2 linked regions of the Rhinolophus ferrumequinum genome follow. The protein of the gene in region 2 binds, or shares a complex with, the protein of the main gene of each other region. Links are inferred from orthologs where the notes say so. Each region holds a gene or a part of one and is shown on either strand. Other genes may lie near its edges.

Region 1 (8,108 bases), about 2.5 Mb from region 2:
TTTAAAAAAAAAAACTTCTCTCAAATATTTTAAACTTTGTCAGAACAACCTCCAAACAAGGTAGATAAAAATAGCTTTTATTAAGTGAAAAATATGTATATATATTGAAATAATAAGACAAGATATCTAACATAAACCAATGATTGTTAAATAGGCCACATATATCAGCTCAATGGTTGCCCAGTCTTCCATGTGCAAATCCATTATTATGCTTTTGTGAATTCTGGGATTTCCTGATGTTTTCAGGTAGGCACACCATTTCCTAAAGGCAATTATCCAATAATAATAATAACTACACAAAGAAGTGTTTTTATTGCATATATTTAAAACTAAATTTTAGGTGAAAAATATAATTAGAATTGATTATTTTTCAATAAATACCTCTTAACATCCTGCAGAATTATTTGGGAAAATTATAATAAAAACCTATTTGGGAAAAATCAAGTCCAACGTTCTTGGTCAATTATTTCAAAAGATCATGGTTAGGTATTTTATTCTCAGTTATCTAGCAATGCCATATGAATAACTAGTGCAAAATGACAGTTTCACAAGGGGCGGATGGATAAAGGTGTCAGCTGGCTCTTTCAAATAAGAACCTCACCTGGTAACTGCATCTTGACTATCAATTTTGCCCATTTAGTAACTTAATAATTTTAATCCAGGGCTGATCTGGCTCTGATGCATTAGCTGGTGAGCATGTCATTTTCCCAATCGAAGGTTTACCTGAGAAATCAAATTAAGGTCAGAAGTTTGCCTGATGAGTATAGTTAAAATGTCAGGATCCCCAAGGTGCCAAAAAAATGCCCAGGATCTCACAGCCCTTCATCCCACAGCTCCAATTCCTCTAATCTGGCCCAAATTACAACAATCAAAATATCAAAGTAGTATTCATTCTACACTGGAAAATGTACAAATGATGAGTCAGAATTCTACCTGATGATGTCACCTGCCTTGGTTTGTATAGCTGAGATTGCTTACTGCCTTTCTCTCAGTGTAATTTCTTTTCAATTCTTGCTTCTTCCGCTAAAGCTGAAATGCAGCTTTACTCTACGTACTGTCTCATACAGTAGTCATGGCCGCAGGTAACTACCAAGCACCCAAAATGTGGCTGGTCCAAATTAAGAGGTTTTTTTTTCCCCCCATAATTTAAGATTACTGTATTTCCTTACAAGAGGAACGTTTTAACAAATTTTACAGGTGCCAAGTAACCTTTGTTCAAATTGGGTAAACATCGATTCTAGCATTATAGGTGTTTTATTTGGAAGTGAACTTTTAACTATTACAAATGTCAAGATACTACACAAAACAACCACAGGAACTTTTTCATCTTTTTTTTGAATTGTTCACAAACATTTCCTACATTATCCAACATAAAACAAAGAAATGGTACATCTTTTTCTTTCAATTTGCATACAATTGAAAAACAAGAATATATATATATATATATATATATATATATATATATATATATAGTACAAAGTTTAACTAATAGACACTAGGCAAGCTGACAGTTAAAGTCTATAGGTGAGAAATTATCTAATAAAAATAATCAGGATTTATTTAGCAGTCACTTCCATAACCAAGTATTATTCTGATTAATAAAACTTGCTGCCATTAGGCTTCTGGTATATACTTACACCATTACTGAATCTGTAGTACTGTTCCCCACCTTAGTGCTTTTCCCCAATTATTAACATAGAAAACTGCTGCAAAGTAGGGGCAGCCATTTGCAAAACAAACAGAATCCCCAGCTTATTATAAGCGTGAATGTGTATGATGGGATTTCTTTACAAGCAATGGACTTTCAAACCATTAAGAAATCACCAGAACTGAATTTGCCAAGATATTTTGCCTATGTCCAAGAGATGCATTTATTTATTCCAACACAGGAGCTGAAAATCAAACTTAGTGTTTAGTTTGGGGGTGGTTTGGGGAATTTAGCCATTTGAAAAATGACCGTCTTAAAAAAAAAAATGACCACCAAAAATAGGTTCACTAAATTTATTTTAAAAATCATGAAAGATTTCTTACAAAAGAGCATTACATTCTGCACACTGCTCTGAATAGTTGCCAGGGACGTAAGGACTATTGTTACTTTTCCTCCCTGTCTCCCCCACCCCCAAATGTTACAATGACCACAAAGTAAGGTGTTCACAATAATCACATAGGGGGAATTTTCCTTTTTAACCAACAATGAACAAAGATTAGAATTCACTCACTCTGCTGTTTCAAAATTTCAATGTTAGTTTTTGCATCTCCTCCCCCCCACCATTTGTAAGGAACTAAAACATTACATCTGGTGAACAGCAAATATTTCACTACACCTCAAATGCAGACCACCTATGAAGCAGAGGAATGTTGGCTTTTTAAACAGAAGCAGAAAATAAAAAAGATGCAGGACTCTATCAGCTCTTCACTAGTCTTAGGAAAACGTTTCACACTATAAAAAAGAAAAAATATCTTGCATTAGAATCCTTCAACATCTGCATACTGCTTCACACTGTTCTGCAGCAAATACTGTGCATTCTGTGTCTGGTCCTGTGTTCCTGTAATGGTAATGATCCGATCTTCATATCCTTCTAAAGGCTCATCAGTTTTGATTGAAGCACCTGACTCGTGACAAATTTGTTTAATCCATTGACCGCCTTTGCCAATAATAGATCCAGCCAAATCTTTGGGAACAGTTACTTGTGTAGTAATAATAGGTCCATCAAGATCACCATATGAACCACGACCCCCTGCATAGGAATACTCATATCTGGAGCCACCCTGTGGTTCATAAGCCATCTGCCATTCTCAAGGGCTCCATGTATCTATTGCAGAGTCCCGTTTCATCGGCACTGAAACCAACCCTGCCATCATAACAGTCTCCAGGTCTTCCTTTTCTGTCATAGGCCATTAGATCTCCTCCTCTAGGAGGTGGTGGTGGAGGAAGAGGAAGGTTCTGAGCCTTGCTACCTCCCCTGCCACCTCGACCAGGAGGAGGGGGAGGAGGTCCTCGCCGAGGGCTCATGTCATCATAATCTCTTCTAGATGGAGGCCTGGGACACCCTCCTGGACCAGGAAGTATTCTGTCAAAACCACCTCTTCCCTGCATGGGAAATCCCACGGGACGCCCATGGCGGTCATCAAACATCACTGAAAAGCCACCATAATCATAGGTTTCATCACAAAAATTGGGATCGTAAGGCTGTGCACATCCCTTGATGGGAGACTCTAAGATGGGAGATGTAAGATCAAGGATGATCTGTATGCACTCCTCAACCCTATCAGGTTTTCCTCCAATAAGAATGACTCTGTCAGGGGAGTGAGGACAGCACTCCTGGAAAAAGCTTGATTGTTGTCGGAGTGTTCTCTCGAAGTTCTTTGATTTTAGCACCTTTGACCCCAATAATTCCTCCTGCCAAACTCTGACGAATCAACAGTCTCAGCTGGCAGTCAGAGTCGCTTCCTTTATAGTGTTGATTATTCAAGCCTTCCACAGCATCAGATTCGAACAGGACCTGGCTGGTTGCAGTGGGTGGTGGCAACTGCAGGCCCTCTTCCAAGGTAGGGATGATTTTCTTCAGAATTTCTCCAATTGTTTCAATATCAGCACTGATACTCAATATGCATTCAGGGCCACTGCTGTCTGGGACTGCAACACTGGCATTGTAGTCTGTGCGCAGAGCCTTAATATTCTTGCCTCCTTTTCCAATCACTGCCCCAGCATTCTTGCTTTGAAGCAGAATGCGTAATTTAACCATCTCATCAGTGTTTCTAGATCTTTTAAAAGCTTGTTCCTCTTCCATATCTTCTGCAGGCCATTTAGCAAATTCACCACTGGTTTTGGTGTTGGGGAAGATTTCCTCTGGCTGGTCAGTTTCCATTTTCTTGGATTAAATGGACACACCAATCTATAGGCCGTAAACAAGCGGGGGACATAGGCAAGATGTCGAGGTTGGTGCGGCAGAGAAACAGAGGATAATAGCGTCGGCCTTGAGATGTATTTTAAGTGTAAAATATATACCAGATTTGGATGACTTACTTTAATGAGAATGTAAACTATTTCTTTAAAAATGTGTATGTTGATTACCTGTTGAAATGATAACTTTTGGATTTATTTTGGGATACATTTTAAGTTATATTATTAAAATTAATTTTACCTTTCTTTTTACTTTTTTAATGTATTTATTAGAAAACTTAAAATTACATGTATGATTCACATGTTTTATTGGATCTAAGGCCGCTGAAGGCTTCCCTTATTACTTTCTTTAGTTGTTCTTTATGTCCTGAACTCTCTTATCCATTCCTTTTTTTTCCAGTAACTAATTAGATTTAGAGGGTAAAATAGAAAGTCAGACTTTGTAGCCAACCTTTAAGTTAAGAGAATTAAGTGCACTGATAGACAATGAAAGTCTTAGTTCAATTCTTTAACTTACTGGATTTATGCTACAGTATTAGAAAAAAGGGGGAGGCAGGAGAATAGCCTTTATTGGTGTCTGTAGAGAATGTAGGGATGGACTGAGTATATGGAGAATTAACAACAGACAGACAGACAGACAGACACACACCCCCACACACACACACACACACACACACACACACGAAGTAGGACACAGAATGTATTTCATCTCCATTCCTCCCCACCTCTCTAGGTTTTTTTATCTACTTTTTTCTTTGGCTGCACTAATTTGTCTCTTTTTCTATGTGTACTAATTTAGACTGTTCCATTGCTGGAATGTGGCTATTGAAAAGGTGAAGAAAAACTTCTGGGAGATGCGGATGCAGGGTAGTGTAGCAGATCTAAAGACCAAGGAACACAGAGAGATGTTTATTTAAGTTGAAAAAGACCGTAGAGATCACCATGTTCCATCTTCCACTCAAATCCATAACTCTTTTATGTATGGAATAAAAGCTGCTTGTGTTGTTAGAACATCAATATTCATCTAACATACCAAATATATACTGAGAAATCCTCTGAAAATATATCTTTTCAACAGGGAAAAAACATGAAGCAGAAAAAACATGATGCTATTGTTTGTGAACCTAAAGAACTTCTGAATCCCTCTCTCAAAGTAACACATTGTTGCAAATCACTGTGGGTGAAATACAGTTTTCAGAAGGCATACATGACCCGACTTGTCAGCAACCAGCCAGTTTTAGCCATGCCAAGGAACCCAGGTAAGACATTACTTGTATTAAACTAAGAGAAATATTCTACTTAGCATGTATTTTTCTTGGCATTGAGGATATAAATTTGGGCATTAAGTAGATTATTTAAACATTAACCAGTTGTAAGAAGATAGTGGTAAATCTATTCATCAAAGTTCTAGATAGTAAAAATCTAAAACTGACTTTGCTTCATGGTATTAAATGTCTTAGTTTTTATTAGCCCTGAACCATTGATGTGACAATTAATTAAGATGACTCCAAATAAACTAAAATAGATCAAATTTATCTTTTAATAAAAATTTGTCTTTAAACAGAGACCTGACAATGTCTGCATTCTTAAGGTAGGAAAAATTCAGTATAGGTTCCTTCTTGATTTTGCCAACATAGAAAAGAACATGAAGGAAAGATAAACTTGAAATTTTGTGTTGCAAAACTGTGTAATTCCTAAATGTCCCAGGATGTTGGAAAACTAAAGTCTTATGTTTTTGAGAGCATTAAAGAGTCTTGGGGTCCAATTTATGGGCTTTTAGACTTACTTAAATGTATGCTAGCCACATGAAAGGAATTATTAAAACTAATCTCAAACGATTCTCCAATTTTAAAAGAATTATATGCCACTGAGAAAGTGGAAATTTCAAGCATCCTGATAGTCTTTTGCTACCATATCAAATATGGTGTACATTTTCCAGAAAGAACTCAGTTGATGAAAATTTTGAATTTTCATGTGTGCAGGTGTCAACAATTATTTCTCAAAGCCTGAGATTGTCACCTGTGATTACCTTCTAGAACATATACATACTTTTGAGATGTAATTCATACACAAGTTCAACTGTTTAAAGTGCACAATTCAATAGTTTTTAGTACATTCACAAAGTTGTGCAATCATCACCACTATTCTAGAACTCATTTTATTATAAACCTTTTGCAATATGTTTTCACACTCACTGTACCCTAGATCCTCACAGACTCCCTGTGAAGCTGATGGGTAACTTCTGAGGTGCCCTGTGGGCCGCAGCCACATTTACGCGAAATGCTTTCCTAATTTCATCTCAAAAACAGAAGGGTGAAGAGTTAATAATGCTACTGCCTTTGATTTACAAACAGACAACAACCTAACCTACATGTTTGTTTCCATGCCTAGAACTCGCGTTTTACCATATATGTAAAATCTTGCTTGTGACTGGTATTTTAGTCTGGTGGGTGCATACCACGGCGGATCCCGCAATTAGAGGTCAGCCCACACAAGCCTCCCATTTCCTTTCGAACACTCTTCTGGCCCAGGAGGCAGCGGCGCGTTTCCCCGCTTTATAGTTCATGATATCGCTGAAGACATGGGTGGGGGGGGTGTGTAAGCTAACGGGCGCGGTGTGAGAGGGACATGGTGTTGTTAGTTCGGCGTGGACAACGCCACAGCGAGGGTAATCAGAGGCGCCGAGCAGGGTATTCCGAGCACCCAGAGCCCAAGCCTCAGCGGCTTGGAGCGAGCAGAAGCGCCACCGAGGGCGCGGGAGACCTCCGCGGGCCGCCGCGCGCCGTGCACGCTCCCCATTGGCCAAGCAGGCCCACGTGACTTCTACCGCCAAACGGCCCGGCCGAGCGCGCGTTTTTCCCAGGAGAGAGTAGGCGTGGGCCGCACAGCGGTGGTGGGGCGGCGGACGGCGCTCGGAGGACCCGGGGAAGCTCACTGCAGAGAACCTTAAAAAAGCAAACAAACAAAACCCCCTCAGTACTGCCCAAAGTAAAACTCTTAGTGAGTAAGCTGATTATTGAGATCGTCCCCTTTTCCTCTTTTCGGCTTTTGTCCCGGGCTATGACACTGAAAATGGAAACCTCCAGTCGTTATTGGCTGGAAAGTGGCTCGCTGAAGCCGACCTTTATCTCTTTCTTTGGGGAAGTCTGCACGTATGAACAACTCTTTAGGGACAAAGAAAACATCGTTTTTGTATGGGGAACTGAAAGCCACTTGTCTTCGAAAAGTTGAGGGGGTGGGTAAGGTCTTGGGAAATCCAGAGAAACCATCCAGATTTGTCATTTAAGGGAAATTAGAAACTCTTGGGAAAACAAAAATGAGTAAAAGCAAAAAGAGACCCTACTCACCCCTAAAAATGTAATAATTATTGATGGGAAAGGGAAGAATTTTTAAAAATCATTTATATATGTATGTGTATGAGGAGTATAAATGGGATATATAATTGTAGAAGTCAATAGAGGGTCCAGTTACTGAATGCAGCTGCTCTCTCCATTTGAGAGTGCTTGGATGCTCATTTTGCCTTTTTTTCTTCATCTAAGGCTTAGCAACTCTTCCCCTCTTCTAGGAAACATTTTCATTTTTTTATTCATTCAAAAAAGGACTAGGGCCTACTACCTATATTCCAGGCACTGTGCTAGGTACGGGGGTGACAATGGGGAACAAAAACAATAACAGCCCCTTCCCTTCTGGTAAAGGAGGCAGACAGAAGTTAATTACACATGTTAAATATAAGTTCCAAGAAGAGGTCCAGATGCTATAATGGAGATTTGCCCTACCTAGCAAGGAGGTTAGAGAACGCTTCCCTCATGATGTGACTCTGGGCCCTCACCTGAAGGGGTTAAGGGAGTTTCAGGCAGAGGGAGCAGCTTGTGCAAGGGACAGCTGGTAGCCTCTCCCTTTCCACAGACTGCCCAATTCAGCTATTTCCACTACACATAGGAGGGCGTTAATCTTGCCTTGTAGTTCCCTGAAGACATTTATTTTTTTCTTTCAATTCCAAGTTCTTCGGAAGTAACTTGTAACCTATAGTTATCGTTATAGATGATGTTTATCCAGTCGGTAAGTATACTAATATACACATCTAGTATGCATTATCTCTGTTGTTTTACATAGTAAAAACATTCAAAGATTTTAACAAAATGTAGAATATGATGTATCTCAACAGCAGTAAAAGTACTATAGATACTCAAAGTACTGAGAGATC
Region 2 (8,321 bases):
CTCCCAGCTCCCAGGACCTGAAGGCAACTCTGTGAGCCTCTGCCTCCCTGAAGACGTCCCTGCGGGCCCAGGGGGCTGCTGCTCACCTGGCAGGTTCTAGGGACAAGGCAACTATTTCCGGGTCGGCGGGTAGAACCGCCCCGTCAGCCTCCTGCTCCTGCTGATGGCGGTAAAAAACGTAGCTGCGGAAAACTTCCTCTGTGTCCTGGGCTACCTGCTCCTCTGAGGATCAAAGCCAGGAGTCAGGGAGGAAGAGCTGGACCTGGTAGCCCGTACTCTGGGGGTGCTTGCTCTTCCTCAAGGCCACAGCTGTCCTCACCCCTGGCAGCAGGGCCCCTACTCCAGCCCTTACCTGACACCTAGTGCTCACTCTGTGCCGGGTGGTCTTCTGGCACTTTCCATTTAATTCTCACAACAGCCTTGTGAAGTAGGTGACCCCCACTTTACAGATGGGGTACTGAGGCACAGGGGGGTTATGTAACTTGCACAGGGTGGTCATACAGCTGGAATGAGCAGTGGAGCCAGGATATAATCCCAGGCATTTGGGTCCCTGAGTTTGTTTTAGCTTGTACAAGGGACCCAGCTCTCACGGCTTAGGGAATATGGGACCACAAAAGTCACATAGGGAAATAGTGACAGACCCAGGATGGAACCCAAAGTCCAGGGAACAGCCTGTAGTGGGCTGTGAGCAGAAGGCTTCCCTGATGATCCCCTTAGAAGAGGGAAGAAGTGCAGCCATCTCACTTCCTCCCCAAAGTCATAAAGTTTTCCCTGTTGAGCAGACGGGACTCTGTGATAAGCCAACTTACTTCCTTATTTCTCCTACTGCAGGAATAGGCCAGCCACGCCCCACTCTTCTTTCCTTCTAACCCCATCCCACCCGTCTGCCCTGGGATGGCCCTGAGCCCACCTCACACTTACTCCCTAGCATCTCCCAACCTCTGTACCTCCCAGGCCCACACTCCTCCCCACTCCCAGGGGTTAACCTTGACTTCACTTTAGCTTCTGAGCCCAATGGGCCACCTGCATTGGATGAGAAGATATTTTCTCCTTTATCCAAGGTGAGTAAACTGAAGCAGGAGAGCCTGCCCCTAAGTCCTGCCTGGCCCTGTCCACTTCTGTTCTCTCCATCCTCACAGACAGCCCTGGTGGTTATGGGATGGGTGAGGGGACAGAAAGACCCTTACCCGAAGTGGAGGAAGGGGCAGGCTCTTCACACCCCTGCCTGGGAGGTCCTGGTCCTTGCCCAGATGCCATTTTTCAGGTCCCAGTGGAGGGCAGTGTTAGCCTGTGGGGGTGGGTTTAAAAAAGCAGAGATGAGGACAAGCAGGGGCCACTGACGAGAGCTTCCTACACAGGAGTGAGGGGGCGCCCACTCCCCAAAAGACCCCACAGTCCTAGCTTCAGCCATTCTTATTTCACCACCTTGGATCTGTGGAGTCTGCTGTGAAGTCCTAACTTATTGAGCATTTCACTGGCAACTTCAGGGTAGTCTGGGGATGAGAAAACCAAGGCAGCCAAGATTCTCAGCCAGGGATCAGCACGCTGGCATCCAGGGCCCCAGGAGGGGTGGCTATAGCACTGCCCTAGTGAGTCTCAGGTCACAGTTCACCTCACTCCTGGGAAGTGAAGCTAGTTTCATAGGCTGCGGGTTCTTTCCATTGCTCATGGGCCCTCTGCACCCTGCCCAGCACATGCTTACCACAAGCTTGCCAACTTCCCAGCCAATGACCCATGAAGGTCGTCCTCGAAGGTCCCACTTCCCCTTGGCTGGTCAGAGCACACCTGTTTTCCACCTCAGGCATATTAGCCACAAATATTTCGTGAGTGCCTATCGTATACTTCTACCATGTATGAGCACCTCAGGGGGTGTGGAAAATGCACATTAGCTCAGCAAGATAAGCATCATTATACCCATTTCACAGGTGGGAAAAATGAGGCACAAAGAGGCTACTGGCCAAGGCCACATAGCTAGTCAGAGAGTCAGGTTGGTTATCTGAACTTCCATGAGTCCATATACTCAACACTCAGTTAAGATTTATCTTCTGGTTTGTGGATCTCAGAGGGTATCCTTTCCAGGGCAACTTTTCCTGGTTACGTGTGGCCCGTGCCTTCCCATTCCTGCCTTGCAGTGAGCTGAGGAGCCCTCAAGAGTCAGAGCCTTTTTCACAGCGCCCCAGCCTGCCTCACACAGATACCTCATTTGCTCTCCAGTCCCCAGCCCCATTTTTCCTCTTTGCCTAGCCCTGGCTATAGCCCCAATGTTCTCCGTGAACCCTTGACACAGGGAGTATTTCCTGGACATGAGCTGTTTCACTTTCAATTTGCATCCCTTTTATTTCCCCTACCCCCCAGCTGCTTCCATCACCCAGGCGGGAGTGCCCTTCCCCCCATTCCTGGGGAGGGGACAGCCCCCACCCTGGGCTAGGCAGAACAGCCCCTCCTCCTTGGGAAGGCCTGTGTACCCTTCCTCACCCCCTCCCTCTCAAGCCTGAGGCCATTTTTGAAAGTCCCCAAGGACTGAGAAGGTGTGGGGGAGGGCTGGACCACCAGTGTACTCAGCTCTCCACCCCTCCACTCTCAGGGCGGGAATAGGGAGAAGGCAGATCCTCCCTCTACCACACCCGGGCGCTCGTCAAGATAGACCTTTGCCTGGCACACCCCCATCCCGGTAGCTCTTTCAGGAACAAGATACCTGTGCCTCTCCCCTGGTCCCCCAATCCGGGCACCCCGGGACAACAGGGCCAGAGGATGCTGACTCAACCTGCAACTCCCTTTCCCACGACCCCAGGGCTCACTGCTGGGAAGGAGGTGGAGTCTCAGAACAGTCCCCGGACCAGAAGTCTATGCCAACCCGGGCCTACCCCTGCCCCCATCCAAGTGGCCTGACTTCCTGGTAAGGGGAGTCCCCTGCACCCTACCTACTGGGGCTGCTGGCCCAGAAAGTTCCCCAAGGGAAATGCCTGGCCGGGCTGCAGATGGAGTCCAGGGCTCCTGGGGCAGCAGGAAGTGCCGTCTGGGCTCTCCCCCTGCTCTTGACCTTGGCTCTGACCTCCACTCCCGTCCCCCAGAATGCTAGCAGACCTGGTTATTTGGCCCCGATTCTCAGGCACTCAGGGCCTGGGCATGAGGGGAAGCTGTCTTAAGGGGCAGCCAGAGGGAGCCCTGGCTGATCAGGCCCCTGGCAGGGGTGGTGAGGCTGCCCAGGCAAGGCTCCTCCTCCCACCCAGCTCCAGTGGGCGCCCTGCCCCACCCTAGGCCTGGGGTTGCCCAGAGTGGGGAGGATGGACAGGACCCTCCTCCGCCGTCCCTCAGCCCCAGCTTACCTGTCGGGACCCTAGCCTCGGCCTAGGATGGGAGGAGACTGGAGATCCTGAGGGGCTAGCGGCTGCTCCCAGGCGAAGGTGCCCAGGCCTGCTTCCAGGAATGGGTGTCAGTGAATTCCTGGAGTCTGGATGCAGCCTCTGCTCGTCCCAGGGCAGCCCTGGGGACTGAGAGGCTCCGCTGAACATAGAGCTGCCTGCCGGCTCCAATCAGCTCCCTCTAGAGGAAGTCGCTCTGCGGCAGCCGGATGCGGATGTACCTCTGGCGGTCTGGGCTCAGAGCCCCCACCGCAGCCTCGGCCGCGCATTGGAGTGGCTCCTCCCCTGCTGCTTTTCCCACTCTGGAGCCTTGATCTTTCCCCCTCCCATCAATCAATACCAATAAACAAGTCAGGATGGTGACGTTTCTTAAGCACCACTGTGTGCCATGAACTTTAGTAGCCATCGTCTCATTGAATCATCTCAACAGCCCTTGGAAGTAGGTGCCATCAGCTACACCCATTTTACTGATGAACAAAAGCAGCTGAGGCTCAGCTGTTCGAAGGAACTCTTCCCAAACTCACTAAGCTGGGTTTAGAATCAAGACTCTAGGTGCAGTGGGGAATAATAATACTAAGTTGAGATACAACGTACAACTAAGACCTGTACTAGGCACCTAGGTGGTCTCTGGAGGTAGAAATCCTGAAGGTTATAGGCAGGTAAACAGATGAAAACGTGGTAAGGTCTGCTCCCCGCATGGGCACATGCAAGCTGAGTATTCAGAGGGGAGAGAAAAGGGCCACAGATACCAGCTGGCCATCGTCAGTGGTTCTCAGTGACAGAAGCAGCCACAGGCAAGGACAAGCCAGGGGGAGGGAGGGTGTGCCGAGTCCTCGAGAGCCCTGCCTGCCTCGTGCTCTGGGTCCAGGTCCACTGTCCACCCTCCCTCCGACCCCCTGCTTCCTGGAGCCTCACCAGCCAGCCCCCAGACTGGCTCCCCAAGCCTCCTTCCCCTGCCTCATCCGCCCCCTGCCCTCTCTGTCCCCAACTAATCCCCCACCATGCCCTGCCCCCATCACTGCCCCCCCGCCCCCCCCCTGCCTGCCTGACCTTTGCCTTCTAGAACTCCTGGAAGTTTCCAACTGTAGGTTTTCATTTAAAAACTCCTCCTGTTCTTAAGCAGTTGGTCCTGGGGTGGCTGCTACAGTTCCTCCCTGTGAGTCACGGTCCCTCTCAGGATGGAGAGCCCAGCTCCAACCCCTCGATACCGAATTTTGGGCCGCTCCTCCATGTTCCGCTTTTTTCGTAGCCTGGTGGGGAGCAAGGGCAGCCCAAAGAGCTCTGACAAGGCTCTGTTGGGAGATCGGGCGTGCCCCTCGCAAGAGCAGGATGCCATCCCCCTGATGATGGACCACCAGGAAGGGGTGGAGAGGAAGGAGCCCAGGCCATCCGCCACGGGACCCAACACCCTCTCTGTGGCCCTGCCACCAAACGATCCTTCAGGGCTGGGGATGGGGGACATGGGGGCCCAGATCCCCACCCCCATGGAGGTCCTGAAGGTCGTGGCCCAGGGTGTAGAGATGAAGTCATTCGGGCCCAGAAGCAGCCAGGAGGTGTCTGAGAAGGAGGGAGAGGAGGAGCAGAAGGAGGCAGCAGGGAAGGCCTCTGGGGATACAGGGTCCTCAGACAGGTGAAGGACTGGGCTGTGGGTGAAGGGAAGGGGTCTGGGATGGAAGTGCTGGGACAAGGCCTGGATGTAAGACGGGAAGGATTTGGGCCTGAGATGGGAGGACCCAAATGGGGGAGAGGCCAGAATGCGAGTCCCTGGATGGGTGGAGGACTGGACCAGGTAACTGGACGGGGAAGGATGGACATACCAAGGGCAAGGAGAAGTCTGGAGATGGGGTGTGAGTATGTGGGGAAGAGGCAGAGATGAGGTTTCTCCCACAAGTTAGGAGTTGTGGATGGAGGCACCTAAAGGAAAGGGAGACAGGCTGGGGACTGGGAAGGAAGCGTGCCAGGGTGAGCGGGCTCCCATTGCTTCCCAGCTCCTTCCTCGGCCCCACCCCACCCTGCCTTTCCTCCCCACTTTCTCCCTCCTGGTTCCCACTGCCATTTGGACCTGGCACCGCTCTCCCCCTCCCCATGAGGAAGGGGGACCATCTCTCAGCTACCCCCCACCTCCATGATGAAGCCTCAGAGGACCCAGCAAGGATCTGTTGGGAGCAGGAGCATGGAGGGGCTGAGCAGGGCCTGTGGGAGAGGCTTGGGTGTGTGTGAGGGTGTGGGGCCTTTGCCACATCTCTGGGCCCCACCTGCCACTCCCACCTGACTGTGCTTTGGAATCAGGGACCACTTTGCCCAAGCTCTGGAGCTGGAGAAAGGATGCCTGCAGAGCTCCATGGGGCCACTGGAGGTCAGCCGGGAAGCCTTCAACTGGGAGGAGGAGTGTCTGCTGGACGGGGATGGTGAGTGTGGGAGGGGCCACAGGTGTGGGGCGGGGCCATAAACAGATTCTCCTCCTCTAGGACTCTGCAGGGCTGTGGGACCTGGGAGGACGAAGCCTAAGGGAATGCTGGAGGCAGACTCCCTGGGTTTGAATCCCAACTCCGCTGTGTTGAGCTGTGTGTGGTGGCAAATTGTTCAGCCTTTCTGTTTCTCAGTTTCCTCATCTATAAAATGGGACTGTAATAGTACCTATCTCAGAGGTAGTTGCAAGGATTAAATGAGATGTCCTTTATAAAGTGCCTAGAAATGTGTCTGCCACATAGTAGGTGTTTGCTAAAGAAAACCAGGAAACTTCACCCGCAGCTCAACCTTCCAGCTGTCCCTGCCCTGCTGGGCCTGGGCCACATCCCATTGCTATTAGCTCCCATTGCTATTAGATTGTCAGTGCCACTGTCCCATCACAGGAGACCTCAGGCTGGCCTCTTCGAAGGTGGGGGCAACTCCCTGGAACCGCCTCCTCACCTTGTACAAGCAGCTTCAGAAATCGACCATGACCAAGGTCTGTGGGGCCAAGACACAGTGGTTGGGGGAGGGCCCAGGGAGGCCTGGGTGGGGCCCTTCCCCACTTCTGGCTGGGCCCCAGGATATGTGGCTTGGACCATGGGCGAGCAGTCCCCTTTCCTAACCTTTTGGAGGCTGTTCCCTCCTGCTTTCTGTTTTACGTGGGGTGGGGCAGGGACTGCAGGCTTGGGGTCCTCCTCACATGCTCAGTGACCTGGCACACCCTCAGTTTCCTCTCAAGGAAGCCTTACTCCATGAGGAGGAAAGTGAAGAAGAGGAAATGGAGGAAGAGGACAGCTCATTCAAGCTCTGTGTCCCAGGCATTGCCACACTCCAGTCGCCAATCCATAAGACTTTTAGATCGACAGATACAGTGGGTAAGTGCGCTGCCCCACCTCCCCTCCCAACCTGCCCGGAGGAGGGAATCACACTTTGTCTCGCGGCTCATGGGTGCAATACCAGTTTTTACCACCAGGTGGTAACAGAGGACCTAAGATGACCACCCGAGGTGGGGGCCAGTGCCGGGTGGGGGTGGGTGGCTGGGCTGGAGGCCATACTCACGGCTAGCTAGGGTCCTCCTCTGTCAAGGTTTGGGAGGCAGCAAGGTGGGGGTTGTGATGACTGGGACTGTGGCTCCTCGAGTGCCACCCTTTCGCAGCCTGGAATTCTCTTTTGGTGGCCACCTCCATCCCTGGTTTTCCTATCACATATCCACTGTTGTGACAGTACCCCAAAGGGTGTCCTGAGGGCAGATAAGGAAAGAGTGGGGGCTGGTGATAATATGATAAAATCGTTGCATTTACATAGTCATTCCTATGGGCCAGATCCTCTTCTAAGAACTTTTCACGAAATAATGCGCTAGGACTCCGAGGTAGGTCCTATTATAGTCTCCACTTCAGTGAGGAAACTAGGCACAGAGAGGTTAAGTAACTTGTCCAAAATCACGCAGCTAGTAAGTGGCAGAGCTGGGACTTGAACTGAGGCAGTTTGGATGGTTCCAGATCCATGCTCATGAGTTGGTGGCTGGATGGGGGGGCAGATATCTGCCCCTTGCATGCTCTTCCCAGGAGGTGATGAGACACAGTCATGCTTGCAGGAGGGAGCCCATGGAGAGTGAGTTTCTTGAGGAAGGCATGGCGGTGGGGAGATGGTGTCTGGCTGGCTCCAGGTAATGGGTGACGAAACCACTATGGCTGGGGTGACCACAGGGCTAGGAGGAGGTCGGAGAGGGAGCCGCCGCCTCTTCCTTTGACCTCCAGCAGGTTGCTCCACCCCACTCCTGCCTGTCCTTTGCCCATCTCTTTGGCTGTCAGGTTTCATGGAGTCAGAGTTAAAGAAGCTTCTGGTAGTACAGCGGGAGTCCCGCCTCTGGAAGATGGGCATTCATGAGGACCGGGAGCTACTGACCCAACCAGAGATCACCTTGGAGGAGGCGGGCATTTTGGATGGCCAGGTATGCCTGAGGACCCTGCCTGAGGACATTTGCAAAATGGGGCTGGAGGCCTCCCATCTCCGTAGGCCCTGACCCTGGCTCCAGCCCCCACCACACTGCCTGGGTAGGGAAGGCAGAATCCCTTCTTGGTGGTATTTCTAAGAATAGGACCGTGACCCCCTGCACACACACAATTCTCCATCAGTCTCTCTCTGTCTCTCACTTGACTCAGAGTCCAAATGTCCATTTTTAAGGCTTGACTTTGCCATTCACTTGCTGTGTGGCCTTGGGCAAGTCCCTTCCCCTCTCTGGGCCTCAATTTCCTCATCCATACAAGGAGGAGATTTGCCTAGGTGGCTTTAAGGCTTTCCAGTTCATCTGTATCTCACATAATGTTGCTCTTTTTCTATTTTCTCTCCCATTCACACCCAAGCCTACTCCCACACACATAGGTGTGAGGCAGTTCCCCTGCTGGGTCACACCGAGGACCACCCGCTGCCCACCCTCCTTGACATCAGCCTTAAACATTAGGCCTGTCCCAGCTTCTCTGAGTGCACATGGATGGACGTGTTGTTGAA

Evidence for each region. The genes of interacting proteins can lie anywhere in the genome.
Region 1: the proteins of BAK1 (region 2) and PXT1 are in contact, whole or in part, in a crystal structure (PDB 8GSV), measured with the Homo sapiens proteins. The link is inferred for Rhinolophus ferrumequinum from reciprocal best matches to the Homo sapiens genes BAK1 and PXT1. Residues at the interface, in NP_001179.1 of Homo sapiens: Ile81, Gly82, Asp84, Ile85, Asn86, Arg88, Tyr89, Glu92, Phe93, Met96, Leu97, His99, Leu100, Tyr110, Lys113, Ile114, Ser117, Leu118, Glu120, Ser121, Asn124, Trp125, Gly126, Arg127, Val129, Ala130, Phe134, Asn182; in NP_694535.2 of Homo sapiens: Ile78, Ile79, His80, Lys81, Leu82, Ala83, Met84, Gln85, Leu86, Arg87, His88, Ile89, Gly90, Asp91, Asn92, Ile93, Asp94, Arg96, Met97.

The regions. Positions count from the first base shown.
Region 1 is NC_046286.1:6,336,269-6,344,376, reverse strand, and holds the start of PXT1 (peroxisomal testis-specific protein 1), read left to right. Parts: upstream 1-4,991; coding exon 4,992-5,163; intron 5,164-8,108.
Region 2 is NC_046286.1:3,845,941-3,854,261, forward strand, and holds the start of BAK1 (bcl-2 homologous antagonist/killer), read right to left. Parts: upstream 3,605-8,321; 5' UTR 3,327-3,604; intron 2,897-3,326; coding exon of another isoform or gene 2,847-2,896; exon of another isoform or gene 2,642-2,846; intron 1,289-2,641; 5' UTR 1,258-1,288; coding exon 1,188-1,257; intron 223-1,187; coding exon 87-222; intron 1-86. Other genes in the region: gametogenetin-binding protein 1-like, read left to right, coding at 2,847-2,896, 5,652-5,770, 6,215-6,309, 6,541-6,688, 7,625-7,764. UniProt on the Homo sapiens protein: Plays a role in the mitochondrial apoptotic process. Upon arrival of cell death signals, promotes mitochondrial outer membrane (MOM) permeabilization by oligomerizing to form pores within the MOM.